Linked DNA regions of Oreochromis niloticus. The protein of the gene in region 2 purifies or fractionates together with the protein of the main gene of each other region. This does not show direct contact. Links are inferred from orthologs where the notes say so. Each region holds a gene or a part of one and is shown on either strand. Other genes may lie near its edges.

Evidence for each region.
Region 1: the proteins of ttc4 (region 2) and edrf1 purify together in Homo sapiens (affinity purification with mass spectrometry; 3 studies listed by BioGRID and IntAct, counting the BioPlex papers as one, with this or other methods). This does not show direct contact. The link is inferred for Oreochromis niloticus from reciprocal best matches to the Homo sapiens genes TTC4 and EDRF1.

Annotation. Positions count from the first base shown.
Region 1 is NC_031978.2:13,923,725-13,931,183, forward strand, and holds the start of edrf1 (erythroid differentiation-related factor 1), read left to right. Parts: upstream 1-4,133; 5' UTR 4,134-4,239; intron 4,240-4,264; coding exon of another isoform or gene 4,265-4,328; intron 4,329-4,407; coding exon of another isoform or gene 4,408-4,537; exon of another isoform or gene 4,538-4,689; intron 4,690-5,284; exon of another isoform or gene 5,285-5,374; intron 5,375-5,653; 5' UTR 5,654-5,661; coding exon 5,662-5,769; intron 5,770-6,670; coding exon 6,671-6,879; intron 6,880-7,291; coding exon 7,292-7,358; intron 7,359-7,442; coding exon 7,443-7,459. Other genes in the region: tex36 (testis-expressed protein 36), read right to left, coding at 38-358, 459-533, 659-799, 887-937; si:ch1073-143l10.2 (autophagy-related protein 16-1), read right to left, coding at 1,810-1,883, 2,799-2,917, 3,038-3,289, 3,660-3,733, 4,044-4,128, 4,265-4,328, 4,408-4,537. UniProt on the Homo sapiens protein: Transcription factor involved in erythroid differentiation. Involved in transcriptional activation of the globin gene.
Region 2 is NC_031981.2:3,039,525-3,047,256, reverse strand, and holds the start of ttc4 (tetratricopeptide repeat protein 4), read right to left. Parts: upstream 3,459-7,732; 5' UTR 3,310-3,458; coding exon 3,202-3,309; intron 2,600-3,201; coding exon 2,482-2,599; intron 2,381-2,481; coding exon 2,219-2,380; intron 2,117-2,218; coding exon 2,039-2,116; intron 1,127-2,038; coding exon 1,002-1,126; intron 898-1,001; coding exon 811-897; intron 404-810; coding exon 162-403; intron 1-161. Other genes in the region: pars2 (putative proline--tRNA ligase, mitochondrial), read right to left, coding at 4,689-5,570, 5,674-5,919, 6,490-6,813.

The DNA.
Region 1 (7,459 bases), on a different chromosome or scaffold from region 2:
CTAATGATGCCATCTGGGCATTAGATGTAAGAATATCTTAAGGCTTGGATGGTGTTGAGCAGTTGGTAGCTGCCAGCACTTGCAGGGTGTCAGACTGGTCAGAATCGTCTCGTCCGAACCACATAAACTGCTCCCCCGCCTGTGCCAAAGCTGCCTCTGCAGACTTCTGCCTGTGGTTGTGAGGGAAGCGCCGGTTTCTGGATGCAGAGTCAACAACCTCTTTCACTATGAAGTCACTCTGGTAGGCTGTGACGTTCCCTCGAGTCTCTTTGGTGCCATTGTCAGTTCCACCATGGCACAGGCAGAAACGGGAGATGTGCTGTCTGCGATCATCAAGACACCTTCTCCTTCCCACACTCTGAAGTACATCAACATAGAATAGAAACGGTCTCCTTTAAAGGTATAATGTGGTGAATCTTGTGTTCAGCAAAGCCTTGAACCTTTCCCTACATACTTACATGAGAGAATACAATGACGTCGTCTTTCAAGGCATGCTTGTTGTCATGGTCTGAGAAGGGATACTCTCTGGATTTCTGCAAGTTAACCCATAAAACACATACTGGGACAGCAACTAAATACACAACTGATAGCAAGTCCAAGAAAAACTATCAAGGCCACTGGCAGTGACTAAAAGGCCATGCCTTATCTACATACACACCTGCTGACTTTTCCATTTAGGATAGCGTTGAAAGTTTAAAGCCTGAGGCAATGATGACTTCACTTGAGTCAGCATGATCCCAGTGCTTGTACAGTTCTCTTGAGTCTTTGTCTCATTTTCTGATAAACCTGAATGAGCAAACTGGGAACAAAATGAAGGAAAACTTAATTACACATCTAGGTTTAGAATGCTATGATTTAATTATCCAATGAAATGAAGACTTCTTACCCATTTGCAATCAGTGCTCACTGAAAAATGCCGCTTTCCGCCTTTTACCATTTTCCCACTACAGCTTGAGGTGTTTAGACCACAATCAGTAAAACCAAACAAGCACTCCACACACTGTGCAACTTAACTACTAATGCCAACACTGGTGACCATGGAAACAGGCAGCAAACAAACTGCAATCAGATCCTAGAGATCGGAACTGAATTCTGATGATTAAAACAAAACAAAAAAACAACCCCAAACATTTTGAAATATTTCAGATTTGTGATTAAACAGAATGAGAAATAGCCCACAATGAAATTCTTAGTATTTAATATTTAATCAATTAAGGAATACAACATGCAATGTTTAAAATGATAGTCTTTGTTCAGGAGAGGGGATTAAAAAAAAAAAAAAAAAGGCATAAAAGTCTCTTTATTTTCTTTTACAGGTGATAAAGAAGACAGTAACACATAATTACATACAAGAGTGTACAGTAAACTAACACTGAGCTTGATTTTTCAAAATTATTAAATGTTTAATTTGTTGAACAGTAATTAAAATGTTAAAAAAAAAAACCCTCAAACAACTGAAAACCAGATGAAGTTGTTTCAAAGGTTAATTTATTAAAAGAAAAAGAATCATAGAACCAGAAGGGTTTGAAGCGTTGATCATGAAGACGACGTCCACATGTGATCAGCTAAACTTCAGGGTGACTTGTGATGTAAAATTAGGCACTAACTATACGTCACAAACAAATTTGCATAGTATAGTGGATCTTTAAATATATTTTTAGATAAATAATAAAAAATAAAATAGATCCATGTGAGCAATTTGTCCTAACGAAAGAAAAACAAACTACATTTTCATTATTTATGTCATCATTTCATCTATAAGCACTGGGGAGAAGAAAAAAAAGTTCTCCCTGGGATCTGAAGGGAATATTAGGCCTGTGGTGGACCCGAGACATGACACTGGTCTGGGAGTCCACTGTGCATATCTGTTGGAATATTGATCCCTGAGGACAAGATAGGCAGACACAAAACAATTACCATTGATTCTTTTGACCAAACATTGAATTAAAGGTCTTGAGCTGTAGATTAAAGTGGCTGGAAACTGTAAAAAAAAACATGACTTTGATGTATTCACTATTATTGCAACATTCATACATTTTAGAATTCATTTTAAAATCTTGGTACTGACTTTTAAAGCTTTGAATTGTGATGCCCCTGCCTACATTTCTGATCTGTTAGAACTTCACGCTCCCTCTCGCAGCCTGAGATCATCTAATCAAAGGCTGTTGGTAGTCCCACGAACACGTTTTAAGACCAGAGGAGAGAGATCTTTTAGAGCGGTGGCCTCCAGGTTGTGGAATGCTCTCCCTCCATCATTACGTTGCCTTGATTGTATTTATTCTTTTAAAAAGCAGCTTAAGACTCATTTATTTAGACTGGCTTTTAATTAGATTTGTGCTGAATGTTTGATTGTGCTATTTTTTTACGTATATCTGTATATTTTTATGTATATCTGTGTTGAATTGAATTGAAAAAAAATTCTTGCTTAAAAATAGCATTATATCAAAGTGGTTGCACATGAATTTCCTATTAAATTCTTAATTACTATTAGGTTTTATTAGTAGTTGGGTCCAAGAGTTCCTATTCAGTACTTCATGTACAGTAACTCTTATGAAGTTGCCACTGCTATCTAGTTAGATGGTTAAAAACAAACAGACAAACCAAAGAATATAATTTTGCACTATTCTCTTATTTTTCCATTAGCCTTTTGTGTATCATATTACCAGCTCACCACTAAGACACACCTTTCTTTAACCTACGACATAAAGCTTCTTAATTTAAAAAGCAAAAAGGGCGGCCTAAAAGTCAGCCATTTGTTTGCATCTAATGTGTGTTAATATCTATATGCAGATTCTTACTCTGAATGGCTGATGTAGACTGTGCTGCATCACTGGAAGAGTTGGTCAGTGTGGGCTCACGCTCTTTCCCCACACCTTTCTGGAGGCGCTTCTTCAGATGTTTGGTCAAATGTTGCCACCTGGTAAAAGGGAGCAGTCCCAGATAACTTTTCAGCTTTAAAGTGTGATTATGCTATCATATAAAGTTAACACGTTTAAATTTTTGAGCTTTGCAAGTCACACAGAACTCATTATCTCACCTTGCCTGAGTGACATTGTAATTATTCAGCCTGTCCGCTTCCTCTTTTTTTTCCTCCATCCATCGCTGCAATAGCCGTTCTTTCTCTCCCAGTGCATCTGCAAGAGCTTCCTTTAGGCATTGCCGATCCACACGCAGGGCTGCTAACTCTTTGGATTGACACTCTATGGTGAACTCATATTCTGAAAGGGCTTCCTTCAGGGTGTTACTCCCTTTAGCCAGAGTAAGTGCCTCTTGATGGAACTGAGACACACTGTAACAGCAAAGTATTATAATGGTGACGAACTGATCCCTTATATTCTGAATACAAAATCCCAACAATCGACCTAATCGACCTCCCAACCTAAGCTGGAAAATTATACTTCTTTATTTCAGTGGTTCAGTATTCCTATGAATATAAAATAAGTTTATTATATGACCAAATTAACTATTTACTAGGATTAATCGGCAACATATTGAGCAATTATGGGGAAACTTAATTTGAAAATTACCTTTACTAGATCTGAAATATACCATGAATTAACACTTACCTCAATCTGGTCCATCATGTGTTGCTTTTACATTGTCTGTGCGTTATTTTAATCTTGGAATCATAGTCGTACTGACCAAGGTATTTGAATTACCGTGATTGCCAGTACTGTAGTTCAGCTTCTTTGAGATGGAGGACGGTGGTTAGGTCGGAGACAGTTTGAGATAACTGGGTAGACAAAACAAAGGGTGGAGTGACCCAGTTCAAAAGCAGACAACAGCACACACCCATTAAAGATGATTATTAAAGTATTTTCTCCACTCCTCTGAACCAGTTGCAATAATGAATGTTTATTTATTTATTCATTTTTTAAAATAAAGTTCAAATGCTTTGAAAGTTGTTTCAGATTGTCAGATGTGGTGTTCGTGCATATCAATGCAAATATGCTGCTCTGCATTTTACGTAGACGTCTTCCCTGTAGTGGAGGTTTTGAGCCTCTGGGGCGTTTAATCATTGGATTACTCCTCATTTAACCCACCTTATCTACCAGGTGCTCACTCTCTCTCAGCTGGAGTCGAAGCAGTGTGGCGTTTCCCCCAACCTCAACTCCATGTCTTTCTAAACTGAAAAAAAAACCAAAAAAAAAACAAGCGTGCAGATTTAAAATACTTTACAAAAAAAAAAAAAAAAATCAAGCAGAGGACAAACCGATCAGCACAAGCGCCAGATGTAGGGTAAGTTAAATTCTGCATTTCTAACCTCTGAGACTGAACATCAGCCAAAATCTCTTCGCGAAGTTCAAAGCGTTCCTCCAGCTGAGACACTAAAAGAAAACAGACAAACGTCCTTAGGTTCTGATAGAGAGGACAACATCAAGAGAGGCAGAGAAAAGTTAATCTTACAGCTTGTGAAAACGCCAACAAACGGGAGCTTTTCTCTGTGGTCCCTATGCTGCAGCCCTTGGCGCACGTGATTCTTCCAACTTTCCATTATAATGGACACTTTAAGGAAAAACCTCTCACGTTTGCGCATCCAGAATAGACTATACTAAAGCAGCGGGAATACAGCGTCTTCAGCCCTCACATGAAGTCTGTGCCATCCACGCAGGAATTAAATGCACTCAGCAAAGTTTCACAGCTCCTCCCTGTTCACTGATCAGCGTGACATTCCTGGCTAGACATTCTTACAAGGATCCATATTGTATTATATTATATTATATGATATTATATTATATTATATTATGGACAGGAGAAACATTAGTACTCGAATATAATTACTTAAATGCTTAACTTGTCCCTCCACTGCTAATATTTTCATGACTTATCATCTCATAATTTATACAAAAATATCCCTGCACCTAAATGTTTTTGTTTGTGATACTTTTTTTTTTTTTTTTAAAAGTATCACAACTTTTTACGGGTTTTTAACAGCTGAACAGAATTGCACTGCAATTGTTTGCATACCTCACACTGAATCAAATTGTTTAAAAATAGAAAAATCACACCACATGCAAAGCTCACGTTAAATTAAAAACAGTGGTGTAAACAGTCAATTTCAGAATAAAAGGTATCAGAAGAACGTGCTCCACTTTTCCAGAAAGAACTTATGAAAATACTTCCGGTTCATCTATTTTTCACAATAAATCGTTTCAGATAAAATATTTTTCCTTGACTAAAACAAATATCCAAAGTTATAGCCTTCAAATGTAAATGTAAATATTTTAATATTATTGAAAAGTTTTATTCTTCGAAACTACTGATAAAATTAGTTTTGTAACTCTTTTTGCCTTGAAACAGGAAGTTGTTGTTGGCTTATTGCTAGCACTTGCGACTGCTCTGTCAATAGACTGGCTGCAGGCTACAGGCTTGTGTAAGTAGTCACGGAGCTAAGAGCTAAACATTAGTCGTTTACAAAGCAATGAAAACTGTTCGCCTTCGTGTCGTTTAGGTTTAATTAGTCTAGTGAAACTTTCATTTTACAGCTTTACGTGTCAGCGTTTCTTTATCGAGGAGCTAGCTTGTCTAGCTAACTAACTTTGCCAACATGTTGACTTACCTCATTCGTTGACTGATGTATAGACGGTCCACGGCTTGTCGAAGCCATGGATATGTTATTTGTTTATTAAATCGGAGTTGTTTGGTGAATTAGATCTTCGTATGTCCAGTATGAGCGCATCAACTGGAGACGGAGAGCCTTGCATCCCCTTGGATAATGCAAAGGAAGAAGTCAGTGGTCCTACCTGCACTGGAGACAACAGTAAACATGTAAGTAACTAGTCTGCAAGGATAATCTACCATCTAGTATGTTGTCATGTGTAACACTCATTAATTAGTATTTGAAGTGCTAATGTTGAGTTAGGCCACAGTGGATTTATAGTGCCATCTGTAAACATGCTATAGCTTTAGTGAGAGTGGGAAGCAGGTGAAGGAGAGCCTGATGAGGTGGTGGAATGCTCTGGAGAGAAGAATGAAGGTCAAGAGAAGCAAGCCATAATACGTGTGAGTTAATAAGAGCGAGACAGGTGACAGGGGAGCGAGACAGTGTAGATGAAAGGAGTAGAATTAGTGAAGGTAAAGGATTTCATATGCCTGGGGTCATCATCATCAAGTAACGGACAGTACACAAGAGCATTGAAGAAGCGAGTGCATACAGGGTGGAGAGGGTGGAGAGGAGTTCCAGGTGTGATTAGTGACAAAAGGACATCAAAAAGGCCTACAAACCTTCTGTGATATATGGTTTGGAGACTGCGGCACTGACAAAAAGGGCATTTGGGTATTTGCAGGAGAGGGATAGTGGATTCACTGGACAAAAGATGTTAAATATGGAGCTGGAGGGGAAAAAGGAAGACAACTGATGAGATCTGTGGATGCAGTGAAGAAGGAAATGCAGAGAGTTGGTTTGACAGAGCATGATGGTACAGATGGGTTGAAAGGAGGCAGATGATCAACTGTGGTGATCCCAAAAGGGTGCAGCTGACAGAAGAACATCAGTGTGCATAGTATACTCATGATAATCAACTGCCAGACATATCCTTATTTAAAAAGATAAGGCTTGGAGCCAAGATCTTTATCATACATTTCAGTAAAAACGAAATTGTTACTCTGTCAGTGCTGTCCATTCATTCTCATAACTTCACACTAATAAGCTTGATATTGTTATTTGTAGGAATCAGCAATATGCTCAGGCAGCAGTGAAATCAAAAGCCGTGCTGTGGTCAAGTACTGTGCAGCCCCACCACCTACCAGCTATGCCCTTCTGCAGGAAAAGACCGACTTGAAGCTACCTCCTGCCAACTGGCTGAGAGAAAACCCCCAGCTGGGCACCGCTGGGACCACTATATTAGGATCTAGCAGCAAGAGCAAGCCCTTTTCCAGGTATAACTTAGAAAAGGGGGCACGTATTCCGTTTTTATGGGAAAGATTGAATTTGAATTGATGTCAAGCTCATGATTGAGGTACATAGGCACCACTTTTATCATTACACCAAGAATAATATCTTTTGTTTAAATGTAATTTGCGACCCATGAAGACTGATACTCTATCCACAATAAACAAGGTGTGGAATAGAGTATTGCATAGTTGCAAAACTATGGTTCAAACTCACAGTGGAGGACTTTTCACTACATAATTCAAAGTACTAAAACCCCTCAAGCTGCTGCACTTTCATTTAGGATGTGAGTGGGTGAATTATGGATACAGTTGAAGACGAAGACTTTAATTATTGCTCATCAGTCTAATTGTTACACAGTTAGTTTGTATTGAGTAAACTGTTTTTCTTCTTTTGCAGTTTTGGGATGGCGTACGAGTTCATCGATTGCATCGGAGATGATGTTGATGTGGTTTCAGACTCAGAGGTTTGTGGAGCTGCTGCAGAGCTATTTCTTTGTTAGCTACAGAAGCATGCAGTTGATGTTAACAGAATTCTTTTTCACCTTCAGAACATCAAGAAGCTTTT
Region 2 (7,732 bases):
TTATGCTGCAAAAGTTACATCTCGCGTCTTATTTTGGTCAAAAGATATCTGAAACAGGTCACAGATCATAGAGTGGAGGAATGTATAATCAAAACGATCATCAGTGATATTTGTATATAAATTTAGCTTAATCTTGGTCACTGAGGGCAGGAGTCGTTTACCAGCTGTTTTCACAGAAAGCCGAGATGAAGTCACTCTGCTGATGTTCGGGGTAGAGAAAGAGAACGGGCCACTGCAGAGAGCCCTGCTCATCTACGAAGACCTGAGCCCCGGTGACCTCCTGAGAGCTGAGGCCATCCAGGCTGAGCTCCGCTATCGCCGCAGGAGAGCGTTCATCCTCATCTTCACTGTCGGAACCGCTCCGATGAGCCCTCACAGGCTGCACGAGTTTGATGCCTCGATCCTGTGTATAGATGCCAAAATCATAACTGATATAATTTCGTTCTCTGTGTTCATTTTTCACTTAGATAGTGAAGGCAGTTTAAGATGCATCTTCTAATATGTAGGGTCAGCCTCTTGACTTAAGCCCCTTGCAGAATCGGATGGTTTGTGGCGGTTGCCCTGGCCCAAGGGTGAAGACGAGACCTGCGCTGCTAACGCATCATCCGGTGACGGGCCCAATAACTACGAGCCTGTGGCTGGGCTTGGACTTGATAGCTAGGCGCCTCCAGCAGGGCTGTGGCAGCAGCTGGACTTGTGATTTCTAACTACAAATCTGCAGCAGCGGCCGGGCAGGTAGCTGCCAATTAGTGTCAAATACAAATATGTGTGTGACGCGTGCGACGTTAGATGCTCATCTCTAATGCTTACCTTTATGGCATTTAGAAGAGCTTCTTTCTCACCATGCAACTTCTTTTCTTTAGCCTTGGCCTTCCTGGCATCTCTCTCTGCTGCTCTCTAAGATACCAAAAACAAATCAAGGTTTATTTCAGCGCTTTAAAGTTTTCGCCACTTCTAAAAATAATATATTAAAAGACAAGGATCATCTGAAGTGTAGTTACTTTGTGCTTATCTGCCACTGCTCTCAGCTCCCGCAGCTTTTTGTCAGTAGGATGAACCTTGAGCCCCTCGTCACACCACTGGATGGCCTCTGAAAAGTGGCGCAGCTCTATACAACACTGAGCGCCTGCAGAAGCACAAACATGGGATTCATTTGCTTTCTAAGAGATAAACAGACAGAAATCTGGAGCTTCTAAACTGAACAGACAGTGGACTCTGGACTTTGTAGACTGGTGTCAGCAGAACCACCTGCTGATCAACGCCGGGAAAACCAAGGAGTTGGTGGTGGACTTCCGGAGACGCAGACCCACCACACTGACACCGGTGAACATCCAGGGATCTGTCATTTTTTACAGTGTGGTATGTTGGAGCAGCAGTTTATCGGCAGTTGAGAGGAAGAGGTTGGATAAACTCATCAGGAAGGCCAGCTCTGTTCTGGGATGCACCCTGGACCCAGTGCAGGTGGTGGGAGACAGAAGGACTCTGGCCAAAATAACATCTCTGATGGACAGAGTCTCCCACCCCATGCATGGAAATGTTGCTGAACTGCAGAGCTCCTTCAGTGACAGACTGCTGCATCCTAGATGCATGAAGGAGTGTTTCCGCAGGTCCTTCCTCCCTGCAGCTGTCAGACTGTACAATCAGAACTGCTCCCAACAATCATAGATGTTTACATCTGCGCTGTAACTGCAATAAGTTAATCAACCGATTCGCACTACAACCTGGTTTACCTCTTATCTGTAGTTATTTATATTTAATTTAATAACTGTACAGTACTCTGTTTATAGTAACCATTGTCCTTAATGTAAATATGTAAGAAAAATTGTGTATGTTTCTGTTCTGTGTACTGTTTGTTTGTATATGTGTCTTTCTGGCTGCTGTTACAACCAAATTTCCCCTTGTGGGACAATTAAAGGATTATTCTATTCTATTCTATTCTATTCTATTCTTCTATTCTATTGAAACCAGTACTAGATTTCCATGCCTAGTAACACAATGTCATCATATCATAGCAGTACATGTTAAAAACATTACACACCTCTGATCAAGGCTTTCAGGTGGTCTGGCTTGAGCTTCTTTGCAGCTGCAGCATCATTCAAAGCAGAGCGCATGTTTCCTGAGTCACGGAAAAAAGAAAAACACAGACATATTTTTTTTAAACAATGTCATCTTTTGTGAGAGCGAAAGGACATTTGGATGCTTTTTTTTTTTTTTTTACCAAGGTAAAAGTGTGATGCTGCACGGTTGGTGAGGAGGACAGCATTGAGGTCCTGGTCTGCACATTTCTTCTTCAAACCCGCTGTGTAGGCCACCACCGCTTTTTGGTAGTTCTTCTCTTTGAAATACGCATTGCCTTCATCTTTCAGGCTTTTTGCTTGCTCTGGAAAAGAACGTGTTTCTCACATTTATTCAACTGTTTTCAACGAATACATACCGAGCAGCTTCAAAGGCTTGGAGGAGAGAAAGCTGTGGTTCGCATACCTTCAGGAGGCCGGTCTTCGTCGTGGATAATGGACTGGAGGCAGGCTAGTTCTGGGTATTTCTGTGGGTCGATCTCTTCAGGGGCATTTTTCATGAACATGGGTATTTTATTAAACTCCTGCGTGAGACAGCAGTAAATTTTGGTATTATCTGATACAAGTAAAGCCAAGGCCAGTAATGCCGTTACCAATATGGACACTTTAATACTTTTAACCTCTAAGGGCAGCATACAGAGTCGGAGATTAACCATCATTAATTTGCAAACTCTGAACACATTTTAATAATCACTGTGATTTTTACCTTTCAGCTTCATGTATTTTGAAACTGAATTTTTTGGGGAGGGGAGCTCGAACCTAAATGTGTCTGTGGGCTATAAATAAAATACATGTGACAGTCAACACAGAAAGGTTCAGACATTTTCCATAGTGTATGTTTGAGGTATATTTTACATTACCAATAAAAATAACTTAATTTAAAACAATTCATTGGGCTACAAACTGAACGTGGAGAATAGAAGCAAAGTGTCGATTCTATCGCGCTAGTATCGATCCGATACCAGCATTGGTACCGATTCTACTTTTGATATCTTCACGAGGTACTGAGCATGTTAGCATCTTATTGCTAACCACCATCAATAAAAACAAAGACGTGCTAACACATTTCATTCGGGTTCAAGTGGCTTTGTATCTAGTGCACATAGTCTCCGCAAGCCAACGTTACCTCCTCCCAGTCGTTTTCACTGAAGGCATTTTTATACCGCTGGGTCTTGAATTTGTCCATGAACGCGTCCATGCCATCGTCGCTGTCACTGTGTACTGTGGACGCCATTTTGGATCAAAATATACTTTAAAGAGCTGCTTCTTGTTTTTAAATCTTACATTAACGCTGACAGCAGTCTGTCCAGCTAACCGTTCCTCAAGTTGCCTTGTTTACACATGTGTAACAGCGGTGCCACATGCGAAAAAATCCGTGTGGAAACTCACTTCCGGCAGAGCGTTCCACTCCTCGTGGTACGAAGTTGCTCCGAAGCTCCGACGGCAGAAGTAATGCTCTCAAAGCACCGTTACACTTAGTATTATTAAATAGGTGGAAGTTTCTTTTCTAATTATCCCGTTAATTATTTCAGCCTTACTTGTGTGCACCATGGAAAGCAACGCTAACACTGCCCCCACTGTAGCGTAACTCTTGGCTTTTTGTCCACATTTTGAGGTCCTTGCTTTACAACATGCACTGGGATAACTATTTTTGTGCTAAAAAATAAACTTGCATTTATTTTAATTTTTCAGGGACCATGGACATCGTTAATGTCAGTGTATGTATATGCATGTATAATTTTCAACTGTTGCTTTGTCCTCTGACCTGTGTGAAATAAAATAATCAGATGCTTATTAAAAGAGAGAACCTGAAACTGTGTGAATGCGGCCGAATGTCCCATAAAACGTCAGCTCTGAAAAGGGTCTTTTATTACACAAGTATATGTGCAATTCTTCTTCTGACGAAGTTGTATTTTTGTATTTTCCTACTCAGTTGTATATAGTATTTGTATTTCCATTTTATTCTATTGTAGATATTATTCTATTCTATTTTATTCTATTGTATATGGTATTTTATTTTATTGCTTTCCAGTGTTTTCTCATTTCTGCTACATAACTTTGCACTTTGCTGTAACAAAACAAGTTTCCCACCTGTGGGACTAATAAAGGTCATCTTATCTTATCTTAAGACAAGTTAAGTTTACTGTGACACACTGATCTCACTCCCAATCTGGTTGAGTGTTTTATTACATTCATGTTGTGACAAATTCTCATGTACTTCATGCTGTATACTGGCCTACTTACAAGGGATATCTGCATTGTAGGATACCACTCTAAATACTACTAAACAATGGGAATATATTTACCAACTTTGCTTTTCTTTGCTGTCTCACTTTTTTGCGACATTCATAATTTGGTTCTAACCAGCACTGATTTGTCCAGGTACAGATTAAATTTTTATTAGGATTATTACATGACTCACTGTAAAAAAAATTAAGCTGTGGACTCCATTATGTTGTAGTGTACAATGCAGGTCAGGTACATAACAGAGCTATTGTTTAAAAAACGTTTATTCAATGTGTAGATAAAGGCTTTGGAAAACATGGAATAATCTATGCCCACCACCTCACACCCACAAACTGAAACATTTATTCTAACATTCAAACTTGTTACTCATACAGTTTCCACTCTTCCCAGTAGATCTAACAGTCCATCTCTACTGAGGAACACTGTCTCACCTGTCTGCTGACAGATCACCTCAAACCTGGGTGTTTCCTCCAGAGCTCCCTGTCCTACTACAATAACATATGGATAACCCAGTTTGCTGGCGTCCTTCAGCCTCTTTCCGATTGTCATCTGTGTGCGGTCATCCAAAACAACTTCACCTCTCAGCTGTGGCAGAGTTTCTCCCAAAGCTTGGACCAGTTCCTCAGCCAGGAGTGTTGCCTCATCCACCTTACTGCCCTTCTTAGGGGGTAAAACGCAAACCTGATAAGGTGCGATAAGACCCGGCCAGCGGATCCCCTCTTCCGTTGACATCACCTCGACGGCTGCCGCCAGAATTCGCGTAACCCCGAGGCCGTAGCAGCCCATCTCGGCGACAGCCGGCTTGTTCTGGGCATTGCTGAAGGTGGCTTTGAATATGTGAGAGTACTTCTTACCCAGGTAAAACGTGTGGCCTACTTCTATACCCTTTGACTCTACCAGTTTCCCAGTTTCACACTGTGGACAGTTGGACTGGTCTGATGACATGGTCTCCACATTGGCGGAGAAGGAGCAGCTCCCACAGACCAGAAGCCGATCCTCGCCGATGTCCGCCGGCAGCTGGAACTCATGGGACAGTTTACCGCCGATGTTTCCCGTGTCCGCCTGCACCTGAACGCAACGCAGACCCAACCTGGTGAAGAGCCGAGTATACGCTTGGCAAACAGACTCGTACGTCTGATGAGCGGCTTCTTCGCTCACGTCAAAGGAGTACATGTCCTTCATGTAAAACTCCCTCCCTCGGAGAAGACCAAACTTCGGCTTTGGCTCGTCTCTGAATTTGCGGGTGATCTGTTTTTTGGGTTTTTCCAAAATAAATCATGTCAGAAAAAACAAACAAACTGCAGCTTGTTGCAGCAAAAACACTGACAGTAAGAACGGGCTGAATGCTTACTTGGTAAAGAAGCAGTGGGAGCTGTCTGTAGGAGAGAGTCGCCTGGTGAGCAACGAGAGTCGTCACTGCTTCCTCGTGAGTGGGACCCAGGCAGTAGTCAGCGCCGTGCCGGTCTTTCAGGCGGAACAGCTCCTTTCCCATCAAATCCCAGCGCTCACTGGTTTTCCAGAGGTCGGCCGAGCACAAACTGGGCATGTCCAGCTTCTGCCCTCCAATCCCCTGCATCTCCTGGTCAATCACTCTCACCTGTTGATCAAAGACAGCAGTTCAAATCAGGAGGTTGGAAGATAAACATCAGCAATCACGCAAAAATTGATAGGAAACTAGAAAAAAAGGCATTTCTGTACCCTTTTCCCTTTAGTCAAGAGCTACTGTTTGACTTTATCATTTTAGCCCAATAAACATATAATCTAATCTAATATATTCGATTACATAATCATATAATCTATGTGATTAGATTAATTAGGTTTTATAATCTTATAATCCACAATAATCTAAGAGGGAAAAGAGACTGTCTGGACAACGTTCACAACCTAAACTAATGTAGAGCCTGTGGCAACAGACTACTGCTTTGATAGACGCCATGTAAGAGGATGACTGTCATTCTGAACCTGTCATAAAGCAAATTATTGAGCGTGTTATTATTTGTAAGATCTAAAGGAACATTCATACAGCATTTGCACGCCCCAGGATAAATTAACAAAATGAAAACAGTATTAAAAAATTCTTAAAAAAAGAAACTATTATCAGTTCAGTTACTTGGCAGGACAAAACCAGCCAATAATATTACTTTATTATTATTATTATCACTCTCACCAGCTTCTCCATGGAGCGGATGGTGGCAGGAAGGTAGTAGTAGCACCCTGGGCTGGATGGATGAATAAGCCCAGCCTGCTGCATGAGCCTCTGGCTCTTGCAGCTCATCTCCCCTGGCAACCGGCTGTCCTGCGCCACATCACGTAAGTTCGAAGGCTGGTAGAGACGAGACACCAGAAGTACGGGCTTTCTACCACAGGAGGGCGCGGAAGCAGGGACGGCTGCCTGCTCAGCACAGCCTGAGTCGAACCTCTTCGGAAGGATCAGGGTCCTGTGGAGGCGGCGAAAGGCTCTCTGCCAAAGCTGAAGCATTACAGGCTCCATGGTACATAAGGATGTGCTGCTATTCAAAGAGAAATGATAGCACAATCATTTGAAGCTGGATAAGTGACCTCACCTCGCTAGTTAGCACACAGTGCCACGTAATAACTGCAAAATCCTCAAATGTGAGATTTTTTCCCTTTTTCATGGCTTATATGACAGCTAAGTTTAGAGTTTTTGACTGCTAGTTAAACAAAACGAGCACTGAAGAAACATCCTCATCACAGAGCACTCGTTCTTCTTTACTGGCCATTAGGAAAAATCTGTGTGTTTACATGGAGATATTTTTAATACATTTCCCAGTTTTTCAATTTTATGATACTTTTCACAGAAAAGAAAATATGTTCACGGAACACTGTAGTTTTTACTCTTTCATATTTATTGTGGTAACACTTTACACGCACTTATAATGGACTTCCTCCATGCTACGCTGCTTATTAAACCTCAGTGAAGGGGGTGAACCATCAGCACAGATGCTTTTTTAGGTAGCAGGTTATTTCATATCCGAGAACAAGTTGTTTAACCCCAGTAATTATATACAGGTTGTAGGGTTTATCCAGCCGAAACAGCCACGGGTTATTACACAAATACAGAGGACTGATAGCTGTTTCACAGTGCTGATGTCCCTGACAGATACATGGATGCTAGCAGGTTAGCTTGGCAGCTAATGTGAAAATGACCTTCTTCAGTTTGCACGCGATATCACGTATGCAGTAAGAAAGACTCACCTTGAGACCGATAACCAGTGTCTGACTGTCCTGTGTAAATTATATAACTAAATGAAGGAAGAGCCACATTTTTTTTACTAAGTTCGCAAAAACACTGAAGGTCCTGCTACACTACAACATGCTGCGTTTCTTCCTCAGCTACATGTCGACAGGCCCCTTGTCTGAGAACGCCCCCTAGAGGGCCGGAGGAGTAC